7 linked regions of the Rattus norvegicus genome follow. The protein of the gene in region 4 interacts with the protein of the main gene of each other region in a pairwise test. Links are inferred from orthologs where the notes say so. Each region holds a gene or a part of one and is shown on either strand. Other genes may lie near its edges. The genes, in order: Gpatch2l, Pak1ip1, Sdcbp, Meox2, Unc45a, Fkbp6 and Csf2.

Region 1 (4,266 bases), about 52 Mb from region 4:
ACTGTTATGTCTAATGCAGCCTGAGTCAGAGCTGACCATCAGGCAGCCCTTCCTGCACCTGTGATTGAGTTCACTATGGTTTTTGTGACTGACACTAAAAAAATGCTACTAATAAGCCAAAAGTTATGATTATCATACTTATGCTCTGTTATCACAGTGTTGTGAAATTCCACCCATCCACCTCCCCTTATCTTGCTCAGAACCAGTCAGCTTAAAGGTTATCTGATAATGCAGTACTTAGTAAGCCAACTGCTCCTCTCCTTGCTTTTTAAACTTTTGAACTTAGTTCTGACTCTGATACCACAGTCCTTTTTTGGGGCCTGAACATCCAGTATTGCTTAACTGAAACCAGTGTTTGTTTTGAGTGGCGATTCCTGAACCCAACACAAACCAAGCTGGGGAGGAAAGGGTTTATTTGGTTTATACTTTCACAGAATTGTTCATCATTAGCAGAAATCAGGATAGGAACTCAAATAGAGCAGGAACATGGAGGCAGGAGCTGGTGCAGAGGCCGTGGAGTGATGCTACTTACAGGCTTGCTCCTCATGGCTTGTTTAGCTTGCTTTCTTACAGAACCCAGGACCACCAGCCCAGAGATGGCAGCATCTACAATGGGCTGGGCCCTCCCCCACCAATCACTAATTAAGAAATGTCCTACAGACTTGCCTGCAGCCCTATCTAATGGATTCATTTTCTTAATGAACTTAATGAACAAGGAACTCCCTCAATATAGAAAGACATTCCATACATTCTGTGTGTGACATATACAATGCCCTTAACAGTTTTGAGGAATACTGGTGAAGTGTTCTGTAGGCTAGTTCTTAACCATACGTGGTGTAATTTCTTTCGTTTGCTTTTTCGAGACAGGGTTTCTCTGTGTAGTCCTGGTTGTCCTGGAACAAACTCTTTAGACCAGGCTAGCTAGCTTCTCCAGTATAAAGTGACCCCTTTGATATTGCATTATTCAGAGAGAAGCTGCTGTGCACAGTTCAAAATGCTCCAAGAGAGCCTATGTCTTCTACAGGAAATGTATTTCTACGGGAAATGTATCTCTTTTCCACTTACAGAATATGGAATATCAATAACCACTCAATATGGAGTTAATATTTCTTTAATGCTTTGAGTTATAATACAGTATGATTTGCTTTTTGCTCAAGCCATGTACACTTTTAATGTCATGAGTAACTTAATGTGAAGGCAGACGACCCACTTCTTAAGGTCAGCACCCTTAGGGAGAGGTTTTGTCTCATTCAGTCCTAAGGGTATCCTCACCCCATACTAGCCCATCTGTCCTGACTTGCCTCCAGGCACTACTTCCTAGTTTCCCAGAGGCCCCGCCCACCGTGGAGCGGAAGTAGGCGCACCGTAGGGCGGAAGTGCAGGGCGGGCGCCTGTCCTTTCTTGTAGCCCGCCCCCTCCCTTACCATTTCAGCCCCACCTCTTAGGCCCAGACCGGAAATGAGGTCAGAGAGGGAAACCCAGGCTGGGAGCTACGGCCCCGAAGGCGGCGCCGGGTGCAAGCGACTGCGGCAGCCGGTGAGGAGCAGGATGGCGGCGGCTGGGCCAATGCCGGGCGGGATAAGGGCTCCGGGTTGCGTCAGGGCGACCGACGGCGCCGCTGGGCTGTGGCGAGTGACAGAGGGTGGCGGGGCCTGGCTACCCTAGGTGCGTCTTCTCAGCCTGGGCTCTGAGGGACGGCCGCCTCCGTGGGAATGTCCCTTAGATGGGCGACAGCGAGAACTCAGGCTTGGTGTCCCGGGCAAGGGTTTCCCTAGCCCCCGAGGACGGGCTGGAAATGGAAGAGAGTCCTTCAAAACGCGGCTTTTTTTCATATCCGTGGTGGTGCTGTGATACCTCTCTCCCCAGCATCAACAGAGGGAATGCAGTCATTAGGACAAGATTTGAGACAGTTTCTGCCCTAGACAGCTGACCTCCAGTCTCAGGTGAACTCAAATAAGAAGTTGACTTCTGTCTACCCCACCTCTCGTTACTCTGACTGGGAGAGTAGCTCGCTGCTTTGCGGCCCACCAGCGTCCTGTGACTCAGACCAGGGTCTCCAGGGTGTACTCTTGAGAGTGAGGCTGGAGGTGTGGGTGTACCAGGGTACCTTTGAGACGCGGAAGAATTCTATGTCAGCTTCTGATGACACGTTGTTTAGTATACTTGTCCCACGTTAAAGTTTGTGCAGTTCTGCCTGAGTTTCAAAGCTGTAATTCTTTATTAGAGACTTAGGCGTGTTGTTCCCACTTGTTTATCAGCTTCGGGCTTAGGGACAGTTGTCTTCCAAACCGCAGTCCTGGCATTTTAAACTACTACCGGTTGCTAAAGGGAAATGGTCTTTTATGTGTAAGGCTTTTGACCCTTTGAGGAAGTTGCCGTGGTGGTTTTGGAGCAAGGTGGCTCTATTGCTCTCACAAGTGTGACACATAATCCAGAAGACTTTTCCTGCTTTTGAATTTGTTGACATAGGGACCCTGTGAGATTAATTTTTAGAAAGCCCCTTGCAAAAAGTAAATTGCATGAAGGGAAATACGGTCTGAGTTCAGCTTTAAGCTCCAATTATGGGCAAGATGTATTTTGAGCTTACCAAGAGCTGGAAAGAAAGTGCTATTTTAGCATACAAAATTTAGGTGTTGTGCAGATGATATTAGACATTTCTTTTTGAAAACCGAAAATTTGAAAATTGCCTCTGCTAGGCATGCCTGGAAAGGGTTGCTTCTGTTAGCCAGGTATCTTAGAGATTTTATGCTGTCCCTCCATTTTGGTTTCATTTATGTCCCAGATTTTGTGTGATTGGCACTAAGCACATAATTGGGGTGACTCAACACTATACTACTAGTACTGTTAGTGTTTCTATTACTACTACTGCTGCCACCACCAGGATGAGGGGTCTAAAAGTCCTACACTGCTGCTCCTGCTACTACTAATATAACAACAACAATACAACAATGCTAGCAACATCAAATCAGTGTCATACTCCACAGCAGTTTGTTTCTAATAACTTTCAGGTGGCAGTTGGTACCATGGTAGTACCAGACGTGGGCTTCCTTTTTTTTCCCCCATTCTGAGTACCTACTTGGGTCACCGAAAGTTCTGGGACTATGAATATCGTGAAGTCTTCTTCATAGGTGCCACTCAGCTCTTTCTCTCCTCCCTACCGCAACCTTTTTAGCAGAAATCCCAGACCTCAGTGTGACCCTCTATCGTGATTGGTTCATGCCTGGTGCTCTCTTGGCTCTACCGTAATGATGAAGTTGTGTGGTTTGCTTTTCTTCTCCAGTGATTAGGCAATCAAGGGATCACTTAATTGGAGAAAGGAGGAAGCTCAATTTGTTTATTTTTGCTAATGTCCTAGTTGTCATCTGGCAAGCTACTGGATATGTTGATTTCCAGTACTCGCCAATGGCCAGACACCTGCTTTTTGTGGTACGTGGATGGTAGAAACGGTAGCTGATGAAAGAAGTCTATTTTCTGTAGCCAGCCAGGGAGCCCAATAGCATTATGTGCTTTATAAGCTTTCTGGAAAAGCAGCAGGTCTTTTAAAGCATCTCTTCTGCTTTTATTTGGCAGATGTGGCCTCATGGATGAGCTGGTGCATGACTTAGCCTCAGCCTTGGAGCAGACATCTGAGCAGAGTAAGCTTGGTGAGCTGTGGGAGGAGATGGCCCTGAGCCCCAGACAGCAGAGGCGGCAGCTTCGGAAGCGCCGAGGCCGGAAGCGCCGTTCCGACTTTACTCACCTGGCTGAGCACGCCTGCTGCTTCAGCGAGGCCTCTGAGTCAAGTCTGGATGAGGCCACCAAGGACTGTCGAGAAGTGGCTCCGCTCACCAACTTCAGTGACTCTGATGACACAGTGGTGGCCAAACGGCACCCAGCTCTCAGTGCCATCGTTAGGGGTAAGCAGCACTCTTGGCATGAATCTGACTCCTTTACGGAAAATGCGCCTTGTCGACCCCTCAGGCGCCGGCGGAAGGTGAAGAGAGTGGCATCCGAGGTGGCTGCCAGCCTTCAGCAGAAGCTGAAAGTGTCAGATTGGAGCTATGAGAGAGGCTGCAGGTTCAAGTCTGCCAAGAAGCAGCGTTTATCCCGATGGAAGGAGAATACTCCCTGGACCTCATCTGGCCATGGGCTGTGTGAATCAGCAGAAAGTCGGACTTTCCTAAGCAAAACAGGAAGGAAAGAAAGGATGGAGTGCGAAGCAGAGGGACAGAAACACGGCTCCGACGAGAACATGTCCGAAAGGTGAGCTCTCCCTCCGTAAAGCCA
Region 2 (4,232 bases), on a different chromosome or scaffold from region 4:
AGCACAGGACTCTGAAACAGTTTTACTCATCCCCATTTTTTGGAAATGATACTATTGCATTAAAAATTGAGTATGAGCGCCCTGGGTTTGGTCCCCAGCTCCGAAAAAAAAAACTGAGTATGAGCTAACGTAAACTGTATCACACCACGGGTAGGACAATAATCAGACCTCTTTGTTCCAAGCTAAGGAGACATATTCCAACTTTAGTAATTCTCTGGAGAAAATAATTAACTAACATGCTCAGGGTTACTAGCAGTAACTGTACACAAATTAATTAATACAAGGGTTTCCACTGGACTGGGGGCTTGCAAGTGGAATAGCCCAAACTAGAAGAACACCGCCCTTCCCATAATTGAAAAATCTTCAGAACATCCAAAGTGAAATTATTTCCCTCAGACTCGAACAAAACCGGCCGTCAGAGAACAAGTGTTTGAGAATAAAGTCTCAGTAAGTACTTAAGGACTCCATTAACTCGACACATACCTGTGTCAAGATCTGACATAATCACCCGCTATGACGTATGCACTTTTGACATCCTCAGAAAACTCATCCCTGACCCTTCCTAAAATGTATGGAAACCTCGAAGTTAAAAAAAAAAAAAGATGTTGCTTTCATTAACTTTTGCACTTTGCCCCTTAATATAGGTGACGTACACTAGAGGAAATGCGAGTCTTCCATTTCGAACCCTACTGTCCTCCTCTCTGAAGACAATCTTTTTCCCCCGTGGCTCAGAGCGTGTCCTAACGCGGGCCAGTTTGATTAGATCGGAGAAGCCAGCAGGCAAGAAGGGCTGAGGAGATGGACCGCTTGGCCTGCGGGCGGGACACGGACTGGCAGGATCGGGCTCTCAGTCCAGCGAGGGGACACTGCCAGCTCTGGTTCCAGCGAGCCCTGATCGTCCCCGGGCCGACCCGACAGAGAAGCCCCTAATCTGCTCTCTACACTAAAAGGAAACCCTTCGCTTGTGACCCAAGCCATGGGGTGGCTGCAGGCGCTGACCTGGGCGACGAAGCGAGAGACCGCCTCTTAATAGTAAGAAAATTACAATCGAAGGAAACCTAACTCTAGACTCCTAATCCGCTGCCACACTCCAGGAACTACGAAGGGAGTTTCAACAACCGCAACCTCCGAGGCCGGAAGTGGATCCGCCCCTTCCTTAGGCGCACCGGAAATTGGTGCTTGAGCGGAGTCTGTCCCGCCCACTCCCCAAGGCTGGCGGAGCTCACGGCTTCCATGGATTTGCCTGCTTGCTACAACTTTTTTCTCTGCTCTGCAATCCTCCTCCTGCGGCTTCATTCCTCCAGCTTGTCGTAGAAGGGCCACGTGACATTCGAGAGCGTACTCCGTTATTGCCATCTGCAGGCGCCTAAAAGGTGCCCCCTGATGGATGACGTATAATTTGCGCGCCGACTTCCGAAAGGCGGTCCTCCGCTTCCATTGGGTTCCCACGCCGGCTTCTCCGGCAAGGCACGTGTGCTGCTGAATGGAGCTGGTCGCTGGCAGCTACGAGCAGGTCCTCTTTGGGTTTACAGTGCACCGCGGGCCCGCGAAGAGTGGCCACCGGGAGGTGAGGCACCGCGAGTCCGGGGCTGCGGGGGACCGGCGGGCTGATTCCTCCCCGCCAGAACCGTGGCGTCTGTCGTTTATTGCTGGGTCCCCGTGGAGGACTTGTTGGAAAACGGACAGGTTTATGCAGATAATCCTAGCTCTGGAGAGGCTGAGACAGAAGGATAGTGAGCTCAGAGCTTGGGTAGAAGGATCCTGCTCTTTATAGAGTAGAGGCTTTTCAGAATGAGATAATATTCACTTGTTAAAGTAGATAAAATGTCCACAGAAGGAAACGAAAAATGTTCATGTCGATGGGGGGAGTAGATGAATGGTTGACAGAGGAGGTTGGGGCCAACTTACAGAAATGAAGTTTGGTGGGAGGACTGTTTTGGGGTGTTTTGTGTTTTTGCCTTGAAAGGTAACTATAGTCGACAGCAATTAATCGTATATTTTAAAGTAGTTACTGGAGAGTATTTTGAACTCAAAGACATAGTTCATCGTTGAGGGCATAGGTTGTCTTTTTCATACCTGATCTATGTGTGCATTGAAATCCCATTGTGCTCCATAAATATATACAGTTATATGGTAATTAAAAAGAAAAAAACTTAAAGTATTCTCAAGGCATGAAAAACTGGCAATTTTATAACATACATGAAAAATAAGGTGTGCATTTAAACTGACAATTACTATAGTTCTTCAAGTTCTAATGTAAAAATACCTTTACCTTTCACTGAGTTTCAATCCTGGTTAACAAACTTCAATAGAGCTGGTGAGATGGCTCAGCGGTTTAAGCGCTGGCTGTTCTTCCAGATCTGGTTTAATTTCCAGTCACCTACAGTGGCAGCTCACAACTGTAACCAACGGATCTGATACCCTCATACAGACATCTATACAGTCAAAACACCAATTACATAAAATAAAAGTTACATATAAAAGAAGTATTCCAACTGGATTGGGAGGAAGAAAGTGATGCAGACTTACTATTTACTGTGGGCAGGGGGAAATGTGCCAGAGCTGTGGATCCTGCTCTTGTAGCCTTCTTGGTCGAAGGAATGGCGAGCAAAAGAAATACAGGGAGGTAAAATGTAGCACAGTAAGAAATGTATTTTTGTCAGGTATGAAAATAAGATACAGTAAATTGCCAACATAATAGTCAAATAGAAAACAGGATTAGAAGTGTCACCTAGCAGGGCCCCACCCTTAATCCCAGCACTTAAACCCGGCAGAGGCAGGGGGATCTCCAGGCAAGGATGGTTTACACAGGGAAATTCTGTCTCAAAAACAAAACAAAACAAAACAACTCAAAAAACAAAAAATACCCAAACAAGCAAAAAAGAAAAAACAAATGTGATCCCTTAATACTCTAATGATTATTTCTTGAACAGTTGTACTTATCACCTACAAATCTTTTGTTGAGAATTCTTTTTTTTTTGTTGTTGTTGTTGTTGAGCTGGGGACCGAATCCAGGGCCTTGCGCTTCCTAGGCAAGCGCTCTACCACTGAGCTAAATCCCCAACCCTGAGAATTCTTTAGTGTGTGTTGTGGGTTTCTTGTTGTTGTTCTTGTTCTTGTTAAGTATACTCATTCCAGAAGTACAGCAACCCTGAGACTGATACAGCCATTCTCATCTTATAGATGAACAGTTGGGAGGTTTATAGGGCAAGAGACACTCAAAGCCCATGGTTTATGAATACAACATGTCAAGGTCCTCCAGATGTTTCCCAGGCTTATGTTGTTAACAATTCGGGGTGCTGCTTCTAAACCTAGCCAGTAACCAAGATAACCAATATTATTTATGTAATTTGAACAAACACATGATGTCTTGATATAAAGCTGTACCATGATTGAGTCAGGTGGCTCATGTCTGTAATCAGGAGGCTGAGGCTGGAGGATTCAGAGTTTAAATTTAAGCCAGCTGTCGTGGTACCTGTCTTTAATCCTAGCACTTGGGAGGACAGCCATAGCTACAATATGAGACCCTGGAGAGGGCACATGGGGGGACAAAAGGAAGCCTGCTGTTCCTGAGGAATGAATGGACTACCTGCTCTGTAGTTCTTTAGGACATGATATGTAGTGACTGACTTTAAGCATATGTAAAGAACTTTGCTGGTTTTGCTTTTTGGGTGGGGTTTTTTTTTTTTTCCTTCCCTGGTTTGTTTGGCTAATAAATTTTCCCATGGAGCTCCTTTAATTTGAAGAGCACTGCATTTGTGTGTGCCTTCTTCTGTTCTTTGCACTCATCCAGTCATGGTTCTCAGACCAGAAGTATATAGTAACAAGCATCTGGTCCCCAAGACAAATTACTAGCAGTTCTCTAGGGCTCGTGGTAGTTCTTCTACACACACACACACACTATATATATATAATCCTGTTGTTTTCCTTAAGGGCTTATCATGGTTATCTCTGTATCTTCACATTAACGTGTTTTCTATCTCTTTTCTTAAAGTGAAAGTATTATTTGAACACAGACTTCTCTGTTTATTGTTTTTTCTACTACCCATAGTGGTATCGAGCATATATAATAGAATAGTTACATAGACATAGAGAAAGTGGGCAGTTATTGGAATTAATCTACATAAAAATTGAACATTTGAATAAATTACTGACATGGACGTCTATGGGATCTACGTTACTGGGATCTGGAAGCATGTTCCTGAGTTCATCTCTCCTTACACTCCTTATTC
Region 3 (3,508 bases), on a different chromosome or scaffold from region 4:
CTGCTTCCTCCTGCTGAGACTGTATAGAGAGAGTTTACATAAGATCACACTGTACTAGCTTTTTGTCTCTGACATATTTCCTCTAGTATAATGTCTTCCAGGGTCAATCTTACTGTTCCAATGCCAATGTTTTTATGGCTTTAGTAATAAGCCATTGTGCATTTACAGACAACACTTTCTTTATTTAGTCCTCTGTTGACAGACACTAGTGTTTCTCAGCTTTGACCACAGTGATGAATGCTGCAGTGAACACGGGAAGGCGGGTGTCATTGGCATGGAGGGATTTTATTTCCCTTTTGGTATATACCTGCAAGGGAGATTGTCTGACTGTATGGCACATGCGTTTTTCACATGAGGCTCCTTGTTACTATTTCATAATGGTTATTCCAGATATGTTCACTGTCTGACAGTACACAGGAGTTTACGAGCACTTCTGTCTTTTTGATAGGTAATATTTGCTGTGGGGTCTGCTTGAATCCAACATGGATCCAATGTGACAAACACCAGGTTAATGCAGATGACAAAAGTTATTATAATCAAGCCACTACTCGTCAAATAGACTTACGGGCTGAACTATGACCCTGAAAGGATGCTCTATGACATAAAGGATGAAACCATAAAGCAAGGGTAGTGGGGTGGGTTGTACTATTGTCCAATTATATTTCCACATAAGGGGTTGAGCAAGGGAGTTTTCACCAATTGGAGGAAGTTCCTGGGTCTGGGAACATGAACATAGTTTGACGCTGCTAGCAAGATGGAGTGTTGTCCTTAGATGGCTGGACTCATTCAGCTGTTTCCTTATAGTAGAAGCTGCTCAGCTCAGGAAAAGTCCCCAGCTCCCCTAGGGCTGGGACCTTAAATGTAGTTTCTCCCTAGGATTAACTGGAGTCTGAAAACGAAGTGGTGGGACTTAGTTAGGTTCTTTTGCTTGTTCCCAGCACACTGACACATGAGGTGGTGATGTCACTGACACATGAGGTGGTGATGTCACTGTCACATAAGGTGGTGATGTCACTGACACATGAGGTGGTGAGGTCACTGACACATGAGGTGGTGATGTCACTGTCACATGAGGTGGTGATGTCACTGACACATGAGGTGGTGATGTCACTGTCACATGAGGTGGTGATGTCACTGACACATGAGGTGGTGATGTCACTGACACATGAGGTGGTGATGTCACTGTCACATGAGGTGGTGATGTCACTGACACATGAGGTGGTGATGTCACTGTCACATGAGGTGGTGATGTCACTGACACATGAGGTGGTGATGTCACTGACACATGAGGTGGTGATGTCACTGACACATGAGGTGGTGATGTCACTGACACATGAGGTGGTGATGTCACTGACACATGAGGTGGTGATGTCACTGACACATGAGGTGGTGATGTCATTGTTCTGGCTTTGACTTTTTTAACGATAAATGATCTGTCACACCCGTTTGTTATCTTTGGGAAAAGGTTGTATGTAGGCATTTTGCCCATTCTTGAGTTTGCTTTTTCCGCTGTTGAGTTTTGAGTTAATTATTCCTTGGGATATTTGCCCCTTACTGCATGATGATTTTCCAGTCACTTCTCCCATTCTGTGGGCTCTCAGTTTGGTGAATGCTTCTTTGGTTGTGAAGGGCTGGTTGTGAAGAGCTTTTTTGTTTGTTTTGAGATAGGTCTTGAGGCTGGCCTCAAACCTGATCCACCTACCTCTGGGTGTGCACCGTCCTGCCCCACTCCAGCTGTGAAGACTCTGGTTTTGCTGTAGCTCCGCTTCTGCACTTCTGCTTATGCCTCTAGTGTGAAGATTAAAAAAGGCACTGCTAAGATCCGTGTCGGAGATCGAGCTTGCGTTTTCTCCTAGTTGTTTGTGTTCCGCAGATCTTAGCTGTGGCTTTGCAGTCCCTCTGAAGCTGACGTACCTTCCATATAAGATCAGCCACAGTCCACTGCCCTGCTCTTGGCGCCTTGGTTTTCCTAATCCTGTTTGTGTACAGATGGAGATTTTGTCAAGAGTAGTTTAACATGTTTTTATGTTGTCTCCTTATATCATTCCTGGCTTAAGGCCTTGTTCACATTGAACTTATTTATAAATTGGTAATTTTATGATTACACCACAGAAAATCTTGGAAAATTAATGTTGCAAAAGTCTAGTGTGACGTTTAAGTTCTAGGAAAATATGTTTGAAATAAAGGCAATCCCCAGTGCTGCTGTCAGCCACAGAGTGTCTTCTGAGAAATGACTCATGCATTGCTCTCAGGGGCGCACCAGCTTCATCTAAGTACACTTACCCAGGCTGAGGCCGCATGACCTCGTTGGGCAATGCAGACGTTTGAGACAGCTGTTGTCACTTATGTGGTCTCTGGCAGAGGCACTTCCGAAGTATATGCTGACCCCGAACGCAGGGGTGCCAGCTGACAAGTCACTGAGTCTTATCTTCCCAAGGTTATGGGGGAGTAAATTACCAAAAGAATGAGGAGATAAAAGCACTGTCATTATTGTGGGAGCAGACTCGACCTGAGGAAAGTTATTAATGAGCGATATTTGTAAGAACTCCTGAGGGAAGTTATTAATGAGCGATAGTTGTAAGAACTATAACTGAATGTGTTTCAGTTAGTTGCTGTGTTTCTAAATACTGTCAAATTTTGTATTTTCTTAGCAGTTGGTAGCAAGGCCATCCAGTGTGAACTACATGGTAGCACCTGTGACAGGTAACGATGCGGGGATTAGGAGAGCAGAGATTAAGCAAGGGATTCGGGAAGTCATTTTGTGTAAGGATCAAGATGGAAAAATTGGGCTCAGACTGAAGTCAGTAGATAATGTAAGTATTTATATTTTTGAATTTATCTAAATAGGTCTCAGAATATTAATGTCAAACATTGAAATGAAAACAGTTTGGCTAGTCATAACCACCCATCTACAATGGGAATATTATGTATCTAGAGTTTTTACGTGGGACACCCGCTTAAAGAAGCCGTGCTGGCACTTGCAAGCAGATCCCACAGTTTTCTTCTGAATTTCTTTACTGAGACGAGTGCTGTCACTGGGTTTATATAATCATATGAAAGCATGCGTGTGATAGAATTCTGGGCTTCACATAGGGCAGCATATGTGAGAGTAAAGGAAGAGTGGACCAGTGAGAATTGGGTGCACATTTTTAAACTAAGTGATAATTACTTATGAGGTGGTTCTGCAAGTTTGTTATTTCTGTTCATAAAATTTGAACCATTATCCTCCTGGATTCTGTTGCAGTCTAACTGTTCCTTAGCTTCAGTGAGTCCATCTTTCCACATAGAAAATAAGCGTATCACAGTATTCAACTGAATGAGGCTGATGTAGGCAGGAAAGACGAACACTACCTTTCCACTCAAAAGGCTGAGGGCATGATTGTGTGTAGCCCTCTGTCCATGCTTCAGATCCGTCATTGTGCTCGTAAAGCCCTGGCCTCACTGAAGCTCAAGTGTGGTATAGTTCAGCAGAGGTGCCTTAGCACCGTTCTAGTTTACTGCTTGGCAC
Region 4 (4,244 bases):
ACAATAAACATATGGCAGTTAACCGTAGTGGCACGCCCAAGCCCTGAACACAGTAGGCTACTGCAGACATCCTCCTTGTAGACACTTCACAGACAGGACCCACTTTCCTGCAGCTCATTCTCCAAAGCTTGTTGTGGGTTAAAGAGAGGACCTCTAGTAGACTCTGTGGCAGGTCAAGCAAGCTAAAGGCTGTGTCAACCGCAACCCGGCTCTCACAAATTCACCAGTGGGCAAGTTTCGTAGTTCACTTCCAGGAGCCCAGGCTGTAAACCTGGGGGAAATGAACCATCATAGCAGGGTCGACTCTGAGGAAATGTTGAGTTTGCTATCTGCTTAAAACAGAGAGGTGGCAAGGAACGAACGGAATGTATGCAAAGAGGAGCACTGTAAGCTAAAAAAAGAAATTTCATTTCTCAACGGATGGGGGACGGGGTGGTGTGTGTGTGAATTGGCTCCTGTAGGGTTAGACTAGAAAGGGTGAAGCTGGGAGCAACTTATACTTGCTCAATTGATGTTTCTTAGGGTTGTTCCTGACCCAGAAAACTTTCCCAGTGAGCGAGTGTTGAGGAAATTGAACAAACTGGGTTGTTAAAGAGACATAGGGCTGGGAGGACACGGTCAGAAACAGAAGAAAGGGGGACACCACTTGGAGTGGCACATAAATATGTGCCACCAAGGCACCAGAACTTGCATCCATCTCTGCTTAAGGCACACCCCACTGGCTACCTCTCCATTCCGCACTCAGAGTAGCTCTGTGCTATCCTTGGTGCTCAGCCCTACAACCTCCTCTCTGGTGCGGGTTTTCTAACAATCTATCCTAAAACACCTAAAAGGGAAAAATATAATGTGCCCCTGAATGCGGGAAGTGCGAGTGGTCTTGGAGTTTGAAAAGCTAGACTGCTTCGCTCTTTTCCTTCTCTTGAACTCTAATAAGTTCTCTGTGATCTGAAAAGTCAGAGAGCGCCTGTAGGTGACTGCAACCCCCACCAAGGCTGGGAAATCTAGGTTCCAAGAACAGTGAGCGAGCACAGACACGGGGTGCTGGCTTAGCATAGTCGAGTGCTTCTGTGTCTGGCCACGGGAATCTATGGGATAGATCGCGGTGGTGTCCCTGAGCTACTGAGGCTCTGGGCGCTCCACTAACTGTTGTGGAAGCTCCCAGGACCCGACGGGCGTGGGGCAGCCGCTCCTGTCCTGCCAGCAATTGGGAACTGGAAATGAGAGAGTACGGTGGCGCTGACTGAGCGGGAGTTTTGGAGGGAGTTTGCATGTGGTCAGCGCTGGGCTCCTAAGCCAGCCCCCAGCTCACATTACACTCTATTTATAACCTCTCAGAGCCATTTCCCCCCCTGAAAGCAGTTCTCTGGGACCACCTTCTTTTGGCTTCCACCTCTCCCACACTTGACATCTGAGCAGCTGCAAGGGAAGCTCCTCCAGGTCCTAGTGTTTATACGTGCAGGAGACTGGCCGCTCGGCTCAGGACTGGGATTAGCGGGCTCTGCTCAAACCCGCGCGGCTTTTACATTAGGAGTGAGTGGGGGAGAGTCCTAGGATTTCTAGTGAAAAGTGACAGCGCTTGGTGGACTTTGGGACCTTCGTGAAGTCTTCTGCTTGGAAGCTGAGACTTGCATGCCATGGAACACCCCCTCTTTGGCTGCCTGCGCAGCCCCCACGCCACAGCGCAAGGCTTGCACCCCTTCTCGCAGTCTTCTCTGGCCCTCCATGGAAGATCTGACCACATGTCCTACCCCGAACTCTCCACATCTTCCTCGTCTTGCATAATCGCGGGATACCCCAATGAGGAGGGCATGTTTGCCAGCCAGCATCACAGGGGGCACCACCACCACCACCACCACCACCATCACCACCACCAGCAGCAGCAGCACCAGGCTCTGCAAAGCAACTGGCACCTCCCGCAGATGTCCTCCCCGCCAAGCGCGGCCCGGCACAGCCTTTGCCTGCAGCCTGATTCCGGAGGGCCCCCGGAGCTGGGGAGCAGCCCTCCGGTCCTGTGCTCCAACTCTTCTAGCCTGGGCTCCAGCACCCCGACCGGAGCCGCGTGCGCACCAGGGGATTATGGCCGTCAAGCGCTGTCACCCGCAGAAGTGGAGAAGAGAAGTGGCAGCAAAAGAAAAAGCGACAGTTCAGGTGAGTGTCGGCAAAACAATCCTGGGGAGAGTGCGCTCTGGGCTAGGAAGATGCAGGGGAGGTAGGGATGGTTCTTGTAGAAAGACAAACTAAGAAGCAGCTAGCGTTTCCTCTCTCTGGTGGCCGAATTCATCTATGCAGGGTCGGCCCTGTAATTCAGGAGCACGTGTTTCACTGAAGTTAATATATCTACATCCAGCCGTTCAAAGCCCCCCAAGATCGCAAATCAGTTTTCCAGAAGCGTTGAAGAAAGAGCAAGTGACACTATGCGAAATCGGTTAAGGAGCGTGGCGGTCCATCCACTGGTTGGGCGGGGTGTGCTCTTTGGGATGCTGCATCCTCTGGGCGTGCGTGCATGTCTCTGTGTGTGCGTGCATGCGGTTCTCTTTGACTTTTTCTTTCCAATTCCCAACTCTGAACAGCTAGACTTTTCCTATCATTAGCTTGGTTTCCACATTATTGCACAATATCTTGAACTTTAACTGGATTTGACAAAATACGCAAAAATAGAAAAGAAAAAAGAAAAAAAAAGAAAGAAAAAGAAACCCAAAACTTTTTATTTACATTTTATTTTCAGAGTTCCTTAAATAGCATTTACTTAAAATGATATTTAAAAAGCATTCTATTCATTTGGCGAAAAAGACATTATCCAGTAATCTAGAAGTGTTTAAGGAATACATCTGAAAATTGCGAATAAATAGATAAGGGCTTGACGAAAGGGTATTCTTATAGTGATTACACTCATGTGGTGCTAACATAGGATAAAACAAAACAAGCAAAAAAAAATCAATCAGCCAACTAAAGGAAACAAAACTTTTGAATTTCAAGAGTGGAAAATAAAAGCCTTCACCAATTGAGTACTGCTTGGAGGTGCAGCGAAGAGAGCTGACAGACAACAGCTCTGACAGCGCTGGAAGAAGATACAGAGAAAGTGTGGGTAACCTGAGCAGCCCAACAAAAGGGGAGCCTCCCAGAAGAATTCAGGGGCCTGAAAGTTCAATAGCCAGTACATCCCGGCAGCCCAGTAAAACTGAAAATTTCCAGGAAGCACAACAAAGCCCTTAACTATATTCCTCATTGTAAAGATGTTTACTTTCTTCCTTTCTTCTTTCCTTCCTACCTATCTTTCCTCTTTCCGTTTTCCCTTCTTTCTTTCTGTTCTTTCTTTCTTCCATTGAATCTTCCCTGTAGTTACAAGGCAACCTGGATACAGATTTTGGAAGACATCACTTAACTAGCACAGTGTTTGCATTTATTTAATTTTCTGTGTTAGCGACTTGAAAGTTAGAACATACAATTTGAGGCATTAGTTTGAAGAATTGAAAAAAAATCGCATTTGCAGTGTAGGACAGTAAGGGCTGTGTATTTTGTAAGGGGTTGAAAGATGATAGAAACTTTTCTTGACCCCAGTGTGGGCTGACTGCTTCCTTCCCAGCCGCGTTGAACCTGCGATTTTCTAGGTCCAGGGTGAACTTTTAATGCTCCATCATGATTAGTTATGTCTAAGAATGTTACCACACTGTCATTTTGTTTAGCGGTTATTGCTGAATGTGCGTGAAATCCTAAGACACTGAGAAGGTTCCTAAGAAGGCATTAGAATCCGCTGGGTTTCCTCAGATTGGGCTTCATGAGCACAAATGCTCCATTTGCTTCTGCAGGTTGGTAGTTACCTCAGGAAGGACCAGAAGCCCCATTCCCTGTTTTCTTTCTGCAAGGGGGAAACTGACCTACTTCTGAGCTGAACCAATGCCCTAAAGATTATTTGCGCACACGAAGGAATTTTTGTTCAGGCACAAGTTATTTTTGGGTGGGGAAACAGGGAAAGTGAGATGCCAAGCTCTTCCCAATTTGTTTTACTATTTAATATAACGGTCTTAATTCAACGTTATTTAATATAATGGTCTTAATACTGACTAGCAGTGGTTTTCATCACCTTTACCAGGGGCAAGTAAGCACACAGCAACGCCAAGCTTGTTTTAGCATGGTGAAACTCGTTTAAACACCAAAACAAGTAAAGAGAATAAACATTTGTGCCAACCACCCAGTGTATTAATACGTTACAAAGATGGGAAATATAATCAATAGGAAGGATAATG
Region 5 (3,994 bases), on a different chromosome or scaffold from region 4:
ATGGGCCTCCAGAGGAATCCAGGGCTTCTGCTGACAGGCCTGTGTGTGGGACTGCTTTTCAGTTGGATGAACCTCGCTCAGCCAACCGACCTCTCAGGTATACTTTCCCTATCCTCTGAGGGTGATTTGGGGAATTGGGAGAGCTGCCAGTGGTGGGTGGAGAGAGCCTCCTCTTCTCTTCTGTTAGGGACTTGGACCCCATTTTGCACTTTGAACAGGGTGCCAGGGATGTGGGTAACCTCCCTTCTCTATAGACGTCTTGCTTCTCTCCAGCACTGGCTCACCACCCCCATTTGTGTCAGACTACACGGGATGCCGAAGGCCGCCACTACCCTGGTTTTTTCTGTCCTCGCCTCTCTGATACTCCCGAGGAAGCCTACTGTTGCCACCTGCAGGCTGCTGGGGGTTCCTGCTGTACCCTGGATGAATTTGAGGCCCTGTACCAAGTAAACTTGTCTACTCTTCAGCCCCCACCCATCCTCAGGTAAGAACTCTAGCCCCCAGATTCACAGAACACTGACAGGGCGCTTCAGTGTTTTGGGCTCTGTCCTTGAATTCTGCGTTGGGAGACTTGTAGCTTCCAGACTAGTGGAGAGGAAGTCACCTAAATCATAATTACAAACAATACTGTAAAAATTGAAAACGAAGTAACGGAAGCTGCTTTATGTCCTAAGGGGTTTGGACGGTGTTAATAAAGAGGATCTTGTAGTCCATGGACACATTGTAGTAGGGGGTTTAATTCTGAATCTAGCCGTGTTCGTCTTCAAGGTATTGCGAGCTCCCAAATTTGTTTGCAAAATATGCGCACATAGTCTATATTTATCCCGCGCTTTCTCGGGACTCTTGGCTCTGTAAACCCTGACTTGTACAGTGCAGCCAGTGTACAATTTTGATTCTCTCCTCTCTCCCTAGAGGCCCAGGCCCGCTCTTAGCACTGGGCATCTACAGTCTACTGTTGATGGCATTGATGACTGCAGATTTCGTGCACTTCTGCCGTGGTCCGGGACGGAGAGAAAGGCAAAACTCCCGCGGCCGCCGCCTTTCCTTTCGGGCCTCTGCCGCGCGCCCCCTACAGGTCCCAGTGGGAACAGACTAAGACGCTCGGGAAGCATCCTTGACCGTGCGCCTGCGCCCGCGCCTGCGCAACGCGGCCGAGTACCCTGCCCTTGCAACCTCTTCTTGGCCTCGCCTTCTTTGGCGTAACCCTGACGCATTGCTGGGGCGGGGCAGTCACCGGCATCTTCCGGAGCCCAGGGCTACCTTAGCTCCAGTGACTGTGCCTGCACCGGCTCTTGGAGCTCAGCTTCGTGATGACTGTGAGTGGTCCGGGGACCCCCGAGCCCCGACCTTCCGACCCCGGGGTGCGTACTGATTCTCCTGCGACATCTCCCCTTCGCACATGCGCCTTCGTACCTGGACTCCGTCACTTCTTTCTAGCCCTATATGGGACTCTGCCCGGACCCGGCTCCTCTTCCAACCGCGCTGCTCTGCTCACCGTCTTTCTCTCCATAGGCCAGCTCAGCCGAGGAGCTGCGGAAGGAGGGCAACGAGCTGTTCAAATGCGGGGATTACGAGGGCGCCTTGACCGCCTACACCCAGGCCCTGAGTCTTGGCGCGACACCCCAGGACCAGGCTATTTTGCACCGAAACCGGGCTGCTTGCCACCTCAAGCTGGTGAGGGGGTCGGGTTGCTCTAACCTGGTTCTACCTGTGCCTGGGATTGTCCATAGCCGCTGCTGTGCGCAGCAGCTGGGCATTTTCTAGCCACCCACAATTGCCAGTGGTCTTTAGGCATGGGTGGTGAGGGATCAGGTGGCTCAGTAAAACAGGGGTGTCGTTGCCACTCGATTAGTTCCTCTCAGGCTCCTGATCTTTCTTACAGGAAGATTACAGCAAAGCAGAATCAGAGGCATCTAAAGGTAGGGGGGTGTGGGCCCTCGTACGGAGCAATGGGTTTTCTGTGGTGGGCAAGGACTCTGGGACCACCGAGCCATCCCTTTCTCCTCCTTTGGTCCCAGACACTCGTCTTTCTACTTGCTTTCCCACTTCTTCGGCCTTTCCTTTTCTGCAGCTGCCCTCACCTTTTCTGAGGCTGAAGCACAGAGCTCCACATTCGTACCCCTATCTTCCTTTGGCCCTCAAGATCTATCCTTACTGCTCTTGCCTGGAGACGGTGGCCTCATGGGTGCTGATAGAGCTCCTGTTTGTGCTCAGCCATTGAAAAGGACGGTGGGGATGTCAAAGCACTTTATCGACGAAGCCAAGCCCTAGAGAAGCTGGGCCGCCTGGACCAGGCTGTCCTTGACCTGAAGAGATGTGTGAGCCTAGAACCCAAGAACAAAGTTTTCCAGGAGTCCCTGAGGAACATTGGGGGCCAGATTCAGGAGAAGGTATGTGAAGAGCCAAGAGAAGTTGGGGACTTCCTGGGTCTGGGTCAAGGATATAGACACAGTGCTCCAGACGGGAGCTACTGGTAACAAACACACATTAATAATGCTTGAAGTGGGGGCTGGGGATTTAGCTCAGTGGTAGAGCACTTACCTAGGAAGCGCAAGGCCCTGGGTTCGGTCCCCAGCTCCGAAAAAAAGAACCAAAAAAATAATAATAATAATGCTTGAAGTGTGGTTCTTCGGTGTATGTATACGTTTGTACTTGGCAAAGAATGAGGCAGGTAGGTGGTGTGGATGTGGGTGTGTGGGCTCTTACAGTACCTGGGGAAAGTAGGAATTGATTTGGCTCCATAAGGCCGAAGTACATTAGCATATCAAAGCTGTAAAGAAACAGGTGATGATCTAGTTAGCCTTAGACTCACTACGTGGCCAAAGCTGGCCTCGAACCCCTGATTCTCTTGCTTCCAAAAACATTTTTATTTTTACTTTTTTTAGACAGGGTTTCACGCAACCTAGGCTAGTCCTGGACTTGCTGCATGGCTGTGGATGGCCTTAACTTCCTACCTACACCTCCCAAGTGTTGGAGTTTCAGATGTCTGACTTTTTTTTTTTTTTTTCCTTCGGAGCTGGGGACCGAACCCAGGGCCTTGCGCTTCCTAGGCAAGTGCTCTACCACTGAGCCAAATCCCCAACCCCCAGATGTCTGACTTTTATTTCAGTTTTGTTTATAGTAAGAGAGACTTGGGACTTGCCTGTATACTCAGCAAGGAGAGAACAAAACTAAACAGACTAGGTCAGTGCTGTTTCTGAGAAATGATCGTGTGTGACCAGACAGGGCTCTGCTGATTGGTAAACGGAAAAGCAAGATATGTGGTATTACATATAGGAACGCACTCTGTCGCTGACTTAAGGACCCAAATAATATGTCATGTCTGGGAACATTTGGGTGCATCTGTGTAAGTCCGATGAAAAATACTAACATTTTACAATAAAAGCCGGGCGGTGGTGCACACCTTTAATCCCAGCACTTGGGAGGCAGAGGCAAGCAGACCTCTGGGTTAAAGGCCAGCCTGGTCTACAGAATGAGTTCCAGGACAGCCAGAGCTACATAGTGAGACTCTGACTTAAAAAAACAAACAATAAAAATAAAGGCCTGTTAAAAATGTACACCAGGCCAGTGGGGTGGTACACACCTTTAATATCCCAGAGGCAGAGAAAGGCAGATGTCTGTGAATTTGAGACCAGCCTGATTTACAAAGTGCATTCTAGGGCAGCCAGGACTGTTTCACAGAGAAACCCTGTTGTGAAAAAAAACCAACAACAAACTGTCCACTAAAGGCCAAACCTGGTGGGTGGTGCATACCTTTAATCACAGCACTCAGGAGCAGAAGCAGACAGATCTTTGTGAGTTCAAGACCAGCCTGGGCTACATTTAAAAAAAAAGAAAAGTGTGTGTGTGTGTGTGTGTGTGTGTGTGTGTGTGTTTATTAAAATGGTTCAAGACCAGCCTGGGCTGTATTTTAAAAAACAAGAAAAAAGAGAATGAGTGTTTGTATGTGTGTGTTGTGTTTATGAAAATGGTAATATTAGAAGAATGGGGTTAA
Region 6 (3,508 bases), on a different chromosome or scaffold from region 4:
ATCCCCTAATGTCTTGTCCTTTCTTCACAGGCTTGCCTCCTCCTGACCGAGTATGAGCAGGCTCGGGACTTTCTAGTGAGAGCTCAGAAGGAGCAGCCCTGTAACCATGACATCAATAATGAGCTGAAGAAGCTGTCCAGGTGAGAGGTGTGACCAGAGGCACAGTGAGACATGGCTGTGAGAATTGCAGTTCACCCAACCAACTGGACGGCAGACAGGCTAGGAATGTTGCCCCAGACTGGCTCAGAGCGGCCATCTCACCTGCCCAGTCCATCACTCATTGCCTTGAGCAGGCTGTTCTGTGTGAGGAAGCCTCACTTCTGAGCATCTCCCTCCTTCCTCTGGTGGCACCTGAAGACCAGCAGATCTCTCCCTACAGAAGCCAGCCCAGGCAACTCTTTGTGTATATTTGCAAGTGCGTGCATGTAGGCCAGAAAACAACCTTGAATGTGTGCCTGGAGTGCAGCAGTTAGACCAGGCTCCTGGCCAGTCTGTAGGTCCTCCTGTCTCTGTCCACTGGTACCCCATTCCCCACCCCACCCCATGCTGGAATTACAGACACATTCCACCTACTGGGCCTGGTTCTTGCATGGTGCTGAGGATCTGAACTTGGGTCCCCCCTTTCCTAACTGAGCTATGCCTCTAGTCCCCATGTACCTTATAAGGTCTCGTGCAAACCATGTGTGGTGAGCCACTCTAGTAGTCCTAGCACCTCGGGTACTGAGGCAGGAAGACCACAAATGCCAGACCTTCTAGGGTCTAAGTAAGGTATCTCCTCCCTTCTAGGTTCAAAAACCTAAAGGTTGGTGAGCCAAGAGTGCATACCATTCTGATCCCTAGGACCCACATAGTAGAAGGAGAAACTGGCCTCCAAATTGTCCTCTGACCTCCAGGCATGTATACACGTACAGGATAAATAAATGTACAAGAAACCTATTTTAGATTCCCCACAACAAAGTAAGTCTGAATATTCAACACTCAGGAGGCAAAGGCAGGTGAACCTCTGAGGTCAAAGCTCCCCTTGTCTACAGAGTGAGTTCTAGGACAGCTAGGGCTGCACCTTGCCTCTAAAATCAAAATTTATTGTAAAGCTGTACTTAAGACTCTACCTGTTCTCAAAATTACCTGAGACCCCTTGTTCCTGAGGAATCTTTCTAGAACCACAAATGAATTGATTCTTTGTGACTCATTCAAGTGAGGAAGACATTAATCTTTTAGAAGTGATCACTAAGGTAGTTCAATGGAGAAGTCTTGTGTTGCCAGGTCTTAGGCCTGAGTGTTCTTTCTGAGGACCCATATGAGAGAAGGAGAAACTGACTTCTACAAGCTGTTCTCTGACTTCACGGACACTTCTCCCCCAACACAGACATTAATAAACGCAATTATAAAAAAGAAAAAGAAAAGCTTTATAAAAAAAAAGTCACCCTTTCTGTTTAGAGAAGCTGTGTTTGTTGTAGAGAACCTGAAAACATCTTCCCATAAGCTCCCGACTAGCCACCATTTTTAACGTGTCTTTTCCTGCCTTGGTGAGTTTCTCTCCTTAAGTAAGGGTAAGCATTCTCTCACCACTGCTGAAGTGTGTGTCGTTTCCAGTTGAGTGCAGCCTCTTTCCTGCTGGCCTTTTTGGGTTCCCAGGGGCTTCCTTCCTGGTATGGGAAGTGTCCTCAGGTTAGATGCCGGGCTGTGGGGCAGTCTGATCCTTGTTTAGGAGGAAAGAGCTCGGAATGAGTTTGACAGCACCGGGAACATGGGACACTTAGCAGGGCTGTGCCCGAGCCCACTCACACTGGCTTTTGCCTTCCCAGCACTGTCTTTCCAAATGATGGCCTTGTATCTAGGACCTTTATCAGTGGCCTTAGCCCCCTCTGTCCTGGCATCTGTCCCCACAGTGTTGTCATTGACTGATAGCCAGTGCTGGCCATTTAGTGGCTGTAACCAGAGAGTTCCAGCCAGCAGATGTCACCTCCTGCAAACGTACAAAGTTGCCTTTCTTTCCACAGCCACTACAGGGACTATGTGGACAGAGAGAGAGAGATGTGTCACCGGATGTTTGCTCCCTGTGGAAGCGGCTCTTCAGTGGGAGGAAACTGAAGGTACCCAGAGGGCTGGGCATTCATGAAAAGATTCAGGGTTCTATCCATTGGGGAAGATGGTCCTCCTCAGCCCGGCTCAGTGACCAGTGGCTTTCTCTACTGAGGAAAGCACAGGACAGAATACACCATGGGGGCTTCCCACAGAGCGGGTCACTGAAGGAGGAACACTTGGAGGTTATATTCGTGTTTGGGAGGTCCCATGCTCTCCCATTCAAAAAACTTTTTCGTGGTTTGTGAAATTAAATTCTTCCTCAAAGTTTCTTGGAACTGAAATTGTTAGTGTGACACTTTAGCTGGGCTTGAGAGAAAAATTGAGTGTCTTTGTTATGAATTTCATGTAGCCTAGGCTGGCCTGGGATTCACTGTGTAGCTTAGAATGACCTTGAATTTCTGTTTTTGTTTTGTTATCCCCTTCCCCCCCTCTCCCATACCCCTTCCCCCTGCTTCTATGAGGGTGCTCCCACTCCCACCCACTCCAACCTCAACGCCTTGGCTTTACCCTACCCTAGGGAAACGAGCCTTCACAGGACCAGGCCTTCTCTTCCAATTGATCCTGGACAAGGCCATCCTCTGCCACATAAGTGGTTGGAGTCATGGGTCCCTCCATGTGTACTCATTAGTTGGTGGTTTAGTCCCTGGGAGCTCTGGTGGAGTCTGGTTGGTTGATATTGTTGTTCTTCCTATGGGGCTGCAAACCCCTTGAGTTCCTTCAGTCCTTTCTTTAGACCTTGGACTTCTGATCCTCCAGACTCTTCCAACTGAATACTAAACTCAGAGACGTGTGCAATCAGTCTGATGAAGGCAGTACTGGGTATGGAGCCCCGGGCCTGTGTGCCCAGGAGGCAGGCACTCTGCTCACCACCCTACATGCTCAGCCTGCTGTTTGTGCATGTGTGTGTGCGCTGAGGGTTGAACACCGCGACCTCACATTTGCCCGCAAAATCTTGGCTTTCCCAACAGTATCTTGTGGGTGAGCAAGCACAGGGAAGAGTGTCCCTACAGCCCAAGAGGACCTTTCAGTCTGCTCTGCTCTTACTTAAGAAAATTAATGGGAACCAATTCACCTGCCTCAAACACCTGTCTGAGGAGGGTGAGAGCCCCACTCTGCTGAGAAGTTAGATAAGGAAGAGGAAGGAAGCAGCTGCTGAGCGGGCCTCTCTGCTAAATCCCACCTTTATTGTCCCTTTGTGTCTGCAGAAACGGCTTGAGAGGAGGGGTCATGAAAGGCCCATTCATCCATGCGCTCTAGCAGGTTCTGAAGTGCTGCTGTCTGCTTGGCAGATGCCCACTATTAGTGCCTTTGCAGGCATGACTTTTTGATCCCATCCTCTGAGTCTTCCAGGGGAACTTCTGAACTAAGCTGCAACCAGAAGACCTCTTGTGATTTGGCTCTTGTCACATTCAGTAGAGATATA
Region 7 (3,884 bases), on a different chromosome or scaffold from region 4:
ATAAAAGTAAGTGTGGCTCACGTTAGATGCACCCTTAGGTAAAACCCCCTCCACCCTGGCATGTTCCTGTGAGTACACATATATCCAACATCACCAGCATACACACGTGACTAAAGAGATACACATATGTATCCCCATGGCCTCAAACTTCCTGTACAGGAAGGCTTGGGCCGGATCCCTTGTGCAAACACAAACTCGTGCCGTCTTCTCCAAAAGCCCTTGTGAAAATCAAACACTTGTTAGCTCCTTGAGAGCACACAGCTTTTCCAAAAGCAGTTCCTGATTCCAGAGCGCTTCTGGAGCGGGAGGTGGGCTGGAGCAAGAGGCTGTGCAGTAAACTAAGCCTGGGAGAACTTGCTAGAGAAGTTGGGGGGCCCTGTGCTTGGTACCAGCCAGCTACTGTGTTACAGCTAGCCTCAGAGACCCCAGGTGCCCACTAGTGGTACAGATAGCAGTAATATGTCCTCTTTGGATGGTAGGCTGCTCTGGAGAGGGTAAAGAGGCTCGCATAGCTCAAAGGAAGAGTCACTTGGCAAGGGGGGTCCTGCAGAATCAGCAGTTAAACTGGGGTTGCCTTACCTGCCCCAGTCAGAAGCTCTAGCCATGCTATGAGCTTTTAAGATCGAACATGCCTTTGTAAATGGGATTTGTAACTGGGATTGTAGCAGTCAGTTGGGATGGTACCATAAGAGAACATGGTGTAGTCTGCCTGGCTTCCATACCCATTGCTGCCATTCCTACTTCTCCCGAGGTGGCAGGGGGTGGGGCTTGGCTGGGCTGTTTGCCCATGGCTCTGTTTCCTCAGTGGGAGTCTGTGGAGGCCATTATAGAATTGTGCCATTGGGCTGGACCTTGTCTAATTAGATAATGAGACGGACATGTGGGGAGTACACATCTCTGAAGAAGGCTGGAAAGAGAACGGGCTAGGGCTGGGGCTGGAATGAGCCATTGGAGTGGGTACAGCTTGCCCAAAGGCCTCCAGGAACAGCAGGTGCTGTGGAAGCAAGAGCCCCACTCAGTATCTCCCAAACCCCGCCCCAGCCACTCCAGGCCAGGAAGTCCAAATATGCCTGGAGGCCCCTCAAAAAGGAGAGGCTAGCCGGAGGCTTGGTTAGACTGCCCAGGCAGGGTGGGAGAGGCCCTTAAAGAAACCCACAGGTGGGCTGCCAGTTCTTGGAAGGACTTATTAATGAAAACCCCCCAAGCCTGACAACCTGGGGGAAGGCTCACCGGCCCCATGTATAGCTGATAAGGGCCAGGAGATTCCACAACTCAGGTAGTTCCCCCGCCCCCCTGGAGTTCTGTGGTCACCATTAATCATTTCCTCTAACTGTGTATATAAGAGCTCTTTTGCAGTGAGCCCAGTACTCAGAGAGAAAGGCTAAGGTCCTGAGGAGGATGTGGCTGCAGAATTTACTTTTCCTGGGCATTGTGGTCTACAGTTTCTCAGCACCCACCCGCTCGCCCAACCCTGTCACCCGGCCCTGGAAGCATGTAGATGCCATCAAAGAAGCTCTGAGCCTCCTAAATGACATGCGTGCTCTGGAGGTGAGTGAGGGAGAGTTGGGCTGTTCTCAGGCCACCAGTTGGCTCTTGTCTTTTCCTGCCTGTCAGCTTGGTAACACAGCACTTCCCTTTTACAGAACGAAAAGAACGAAGACGTAGACATCATCTCTAATGAGTTCTCCATCCAGGTAAGCTGCTTCTCTTCTGTGTAGCTTCACAGGCTGCTTTAAATAGCCCTTTGCATGGCTTTCTACACTCTTCCCTGTCAGTGGCTGCTATGGGGAGGGTGCAGAGTCTGGGTAGTCAAGATCTCCATACCCAATCCTCTGCAGCAGTCAGGTGCACTCTTTTATCGTCCACAGCCATGCCCCTGTGGCAGTCATGTGCACTCTTTTATCAAGTGAGCAATAAGTTTGGGCAGAGCTAGCTTTCAAAGGTCGGAGATCTTCAGGGTTTATGGGAACGTGAGAGTTACTTTATGAGTTGACCTTGTTGCCTTGGGGTTCCCACTGCGCCCTATGACCATGGAAAGAGGGTGTTGACCATAGAGGGGCACAGAGGGCCTTCTGAAACAATGCTTGCCCACACAGAGGTTTGGGGGATATCCTCCGCTCTGGCCACCCCCTTCTCCTACAGCAAGCACCTTTCTCTTACAGAATTGGGGGGTCGGGGTGGGGGAGTCTTGGAACTGGGAACCTCTTGAGGTACCAGGCTATAAACGTGGCTGTGCTGGCTGAGGGTGGCCTGGGCCAGGCTGGGAGAAGGGCAGCGGTCAGGACAGTGTTATGACTAGCCCCAGCCTGTGCCACTTGGTGGGAATAGAAGGGAGTGGGGAGAATATAGCTTGTATTCGGTGGGTGCTCGGCCTTTGCTTACCAACAAATGGATGCTTTTCACAGAGGCCGACATGTGTGCAGACCCGCCTGAAGCTATACAAGCAGGGTCTACGGGGCAACCTCACCAAACTCAATGGCGCCTTGACCATGATAGCCAGCCACTACCAGACGAACTGCCCTCCAACCCCGGTGAGTACACAACGTCAGGGCCCAAGGTCTCAGTCTGGGAGGGCGGGGCCAGTAAGGAGAGATTTCTGACTGTAGCTGTTCAGGGTCCCAGTAAGTGGCTTCCATGTTGTTAGATGTATCACAGGAGCCCCTCAAGAACAGGCCATAGCTCCTACTCATCCCCAGATGCTAAGCTGAGGAACAGCAGAGAGCCCACTGCTCTCCCCAGGAGGAGCTACCTGCCCATGCCATACATGCCATTATCAGTCATGAGGTCAGAGGTGAGGCAAACCCAAGGAAGCTCAGGGCCTGCCCAAGCCCTGAAGAGCCAAGAGCCAGCACCCAGGTGCCACTTCCTGGCAGGACTTTCCTGTGGAGGTGCCTGTATTCCACGGACACAGGGAGGAGGCTCCAAGAATGGGCAGACACCCCAAACATTCCTATTTTCTTTCCTCATCGAAGACAGTGAACCCTGTGACCTTAGAGCTGAGGAGATGCCTTAGGCTGGCCGCTTGCCTCTCAGCAGAGTCTGTCCAACCAATCTGAAGACCTGAGACAGTCCTCCTGTTAGGGAACAGTCTCTGGATACCATTGCCTTAGGCAGCACATGGGCAGCTATAGCGTCATCTGATCCTTTCGAATGGGCTTCTGGCCTCTGAGTTCATAGCAGCAACAGAGAAATACACAGGCTACTTCCCCAAGTCACCACTCACCTGGACTCAAGTGCTGTTTTTTTTTTTTCCCCATCCCCTTCAGGAAACTGACTGTGAAATAGAAGTCACCACCTTTGAGGATTTCATAAAGAACCTTAAAGGCTTTCTGTTTGATATCCCTTTTGACTGCTGGAAGCCGGTCCAGAAATGAGGAGGCCCAGGCCAGCTCTGGATCCACTTTCTCAGATTGCACTTTTGTGCCTGCGTAATGAGCCAGGAATTCAGGATTTCTGCCTTAAAGGGACCAAGATGGGAACACAGCCACAGTGGGGGGCAGTATAGCCCTCTGAAACCACGGACTCCGACAGGACAGCGGAAGACAAAGGAGAGATATTTTCTACTGATAGGGAAAAGTAATATTTATTTATATATTTATATTTTTAAAACAACTATTTATTTATTTATTTATTTAATTTTGTAACTATTTATTGAGGATGTCTTACAAGAATAATAAACTATTAAAACTTTTGTTTGTACAGCTATCTGGTTTATTTTTAAGAGGGGCATAGATGGAGTTGGGGGGGGTCTATTGGGTTGGGGTATTGATCAATGCTGTCATGACCAAAGGGAGGTGAGATCAAGGCCTGGGTCCAGCATTGGCCTGGGTGTGGGGTCTCACATGCCTTGGCGGACCTTCTGGGGTGAGCAAGAGCTTCTGCTC

What was found.
Region 1: the proteins of Meox2 (region 4) and Gpatch2l interact in binary tests that used the Homo sapiens proteins (3 or more experiments, as listed by UniProt). The two-hybrid records come from large-scale screens. The link is inferred for Rattus norvegicus from reciprocal best matches to the Homo sapiens genes MEOX2 and GPATCH2L.
Region 2: the proteins of Meox2 (region 4) and Pak1ip1 interact in a two-hybrid assay, tested with the Homo sapiens proteins (2 studies listed by BioGRID). The two-hybrid records come from large-scale screens. The link is inferred for Rattus norvegicus from reciprocal best matches to the Homo sapiens genes MEOX2 and PAK1IP1.
Region 3: the proteins of Meox2 (region 4) and Sdcbp interact in a two-hybrid assay, tested with the Homo sapiens proteins (2 studies listed by BioGRID and IntAct). The link is inferred for Rattus norvegicus from reciprocal best matches to the Homo sapiens genes MEOX2 and SDCBP.
Region 5: the proteins of Meox2 (region 4) and Unc45a interact in binary tests that used the Homo sapiens proteins (3 or more experiments, as listed by UniProt). The two-hybrid records come from large-scale screens. The link is inferred for Rattus norvegicus from reciprocal best matches to the Homo sapiens genes MEOX2 and UNC45A.
Region 6: the proteins of Meox2 (region 4) and Fkbp6 interact in binary tests that used the Homo sapiens proteins (3 or more experiments, as listed by UniProt). The two-hybrid records come from large-scale screens. The link is inferred for Rattus norvegicus from reciprocal best matches to the Homo sapiens genes MEOX2 and FKBP6.
Region 7: the proteins of Meox2 (region 4) and Csf2 interact in binary tests that used the Homo sapiens proteins (3 or more experiments, as listed by UniProt). The two-hybrid records come from large-scale screens. The link is inferred for Rattus norvegicus from reciprocal best matches to the Homo sapiens genes MEOX2 and CSF2.

The regions. Positions count from the first base shown.
Region 1 is NC_086024.1:111,612,967-111,617,232, forward strand, and holds the start of Gpatch2l (G patch domain-containing protein 2-like), read left to right. Parts: upstream 1-1,464; 5' UTR 1,465-1,536; exon of another isoform or gene 1,537-3,570; 5' UTR 3,571-3,580; coding exon 3,581-4,242; exon of another isoform or gene 4,243-4,266.
Region 2 is NC_086035.1:23,956,248-23,960,479, reverse strand, and holds the start of Pak1ip1 (p21-activated protein kinase-interacting protein 1), read left to right. Parts: upstream 1-1,424; 5' UTR 1,425-1,483; coding exon 1,484-1,567; intron 1,568-4,232. Other genes in the region: C17h6orf52 (putative uncharacterized protein C6orf52 homolog), read right to left, coding at 1,064-1,356. UniProt on the Homo sapiens protein: Negatively regulates the PAK1 kinase. PAK1 is a member of the PAK kinase family, which has been shown to play a positive role in the regulation of signaling pathways involving MAPK8 and RELA.
Region 3 is NC_086023.1:24,304,492-24,307,999, forward strand, and holds part of Sdcbp (syntenin-1), read left to right. Parts: exon of another isoform or gene 1-1,242; intron 1,243-1,362; exon of another isoform or gene 1,363-2,170; intron 2,171-2,651; coding exon 2,652-2,813; intron 2,814-3,508. UniProt on the Homo sapiens protein: Multifunctional adapter protein involved in diverse array of functions including trafficking of transmembrane proteins, neuro and immunomodulation, exosome biogenesis, and tumorigenesis.
Region 4 is NC_086024.1:59,582,583-59,586,826, forward strand, and holds the start of Meox2 (homeobox protein MOX-2), read left to right. Parts: upstream 1-1,442; 5' UTR 1,443-1,634; coding exon 1,635-2,148; intron 2,149-4,244. UniProt on the Homo sapiens protein: Mesodermal transcription factor that plays a key role in somitogenesis and somitogenesis and limb muscle differentiation. Required during limb development for normal appendicular muscle formation and for the normal regulation of myogenic genes.
Region 5 is NC_086019.1:143,703,093-143,707,086, reverse strand, and holds the start of Unc45a (protein unc-45 homolog A), read left to right. Parts: upstream 1-1,186; 5' UTR 1,187-1,310; coding exon 1,311-1,361; intron 1,362-1,512; coding exon 1,513-1,674; intron 1,675-1,882; coding exon 1,883-1,919; intron 1,920-2,071; exon of another isoform or gene 2,072-2,214; coding exon 2,215-2,390; intron 2,391-3,994. Other genes in the region: Shisal3 (protein shisa-like-1a), read left to right, coding at 1-97, 274-484, 913-1,096.
Region 6 is NC_086030.1:26,966,124-26,969,631, forward strand, and holds part of Fkbp6 (inactive peptidyl-prolyl cis-trans isomerase FKBP6), read left to right. Parts: intron 1-30; coding exon 31-140; intron 141-2,000; coding exon 2,001-2,091; 3' UTR 2,092-2,093; intron 2,094-3,290; exon of another isoform or gene 3,291-3,508. UniProt on the Homo sapiens protein: Has an essential role in spermatogenesis. It is required to repress transposable elements and prevent their mobilization, which is essential for the germline integrity.
Region 7 is NC_086028.1:38,887,188-38,891,071, reverse strand, and holds Csf2 (granulocyte-macrophage colony-stimulating factor precursor), read left to right. Parts: upstream 1-1,398; coding exon 1,399-1,548; intron 1,549-1,643; coding exon 1,644-1,694; intron 1,695-2,405; coding exon 2,406-2,531; intron 2,532-3,266; coding exon 3,267-3,374; 3' UTR 3,375-3,380; downstream 3,381-3,884. UniProt on the Homo sapiens protein: Cytokine that stimulates the growth and differentiation of hematopoietic precursor cells from various lineages, including granulocytes, macrophages, eosinophils and erythrocytes.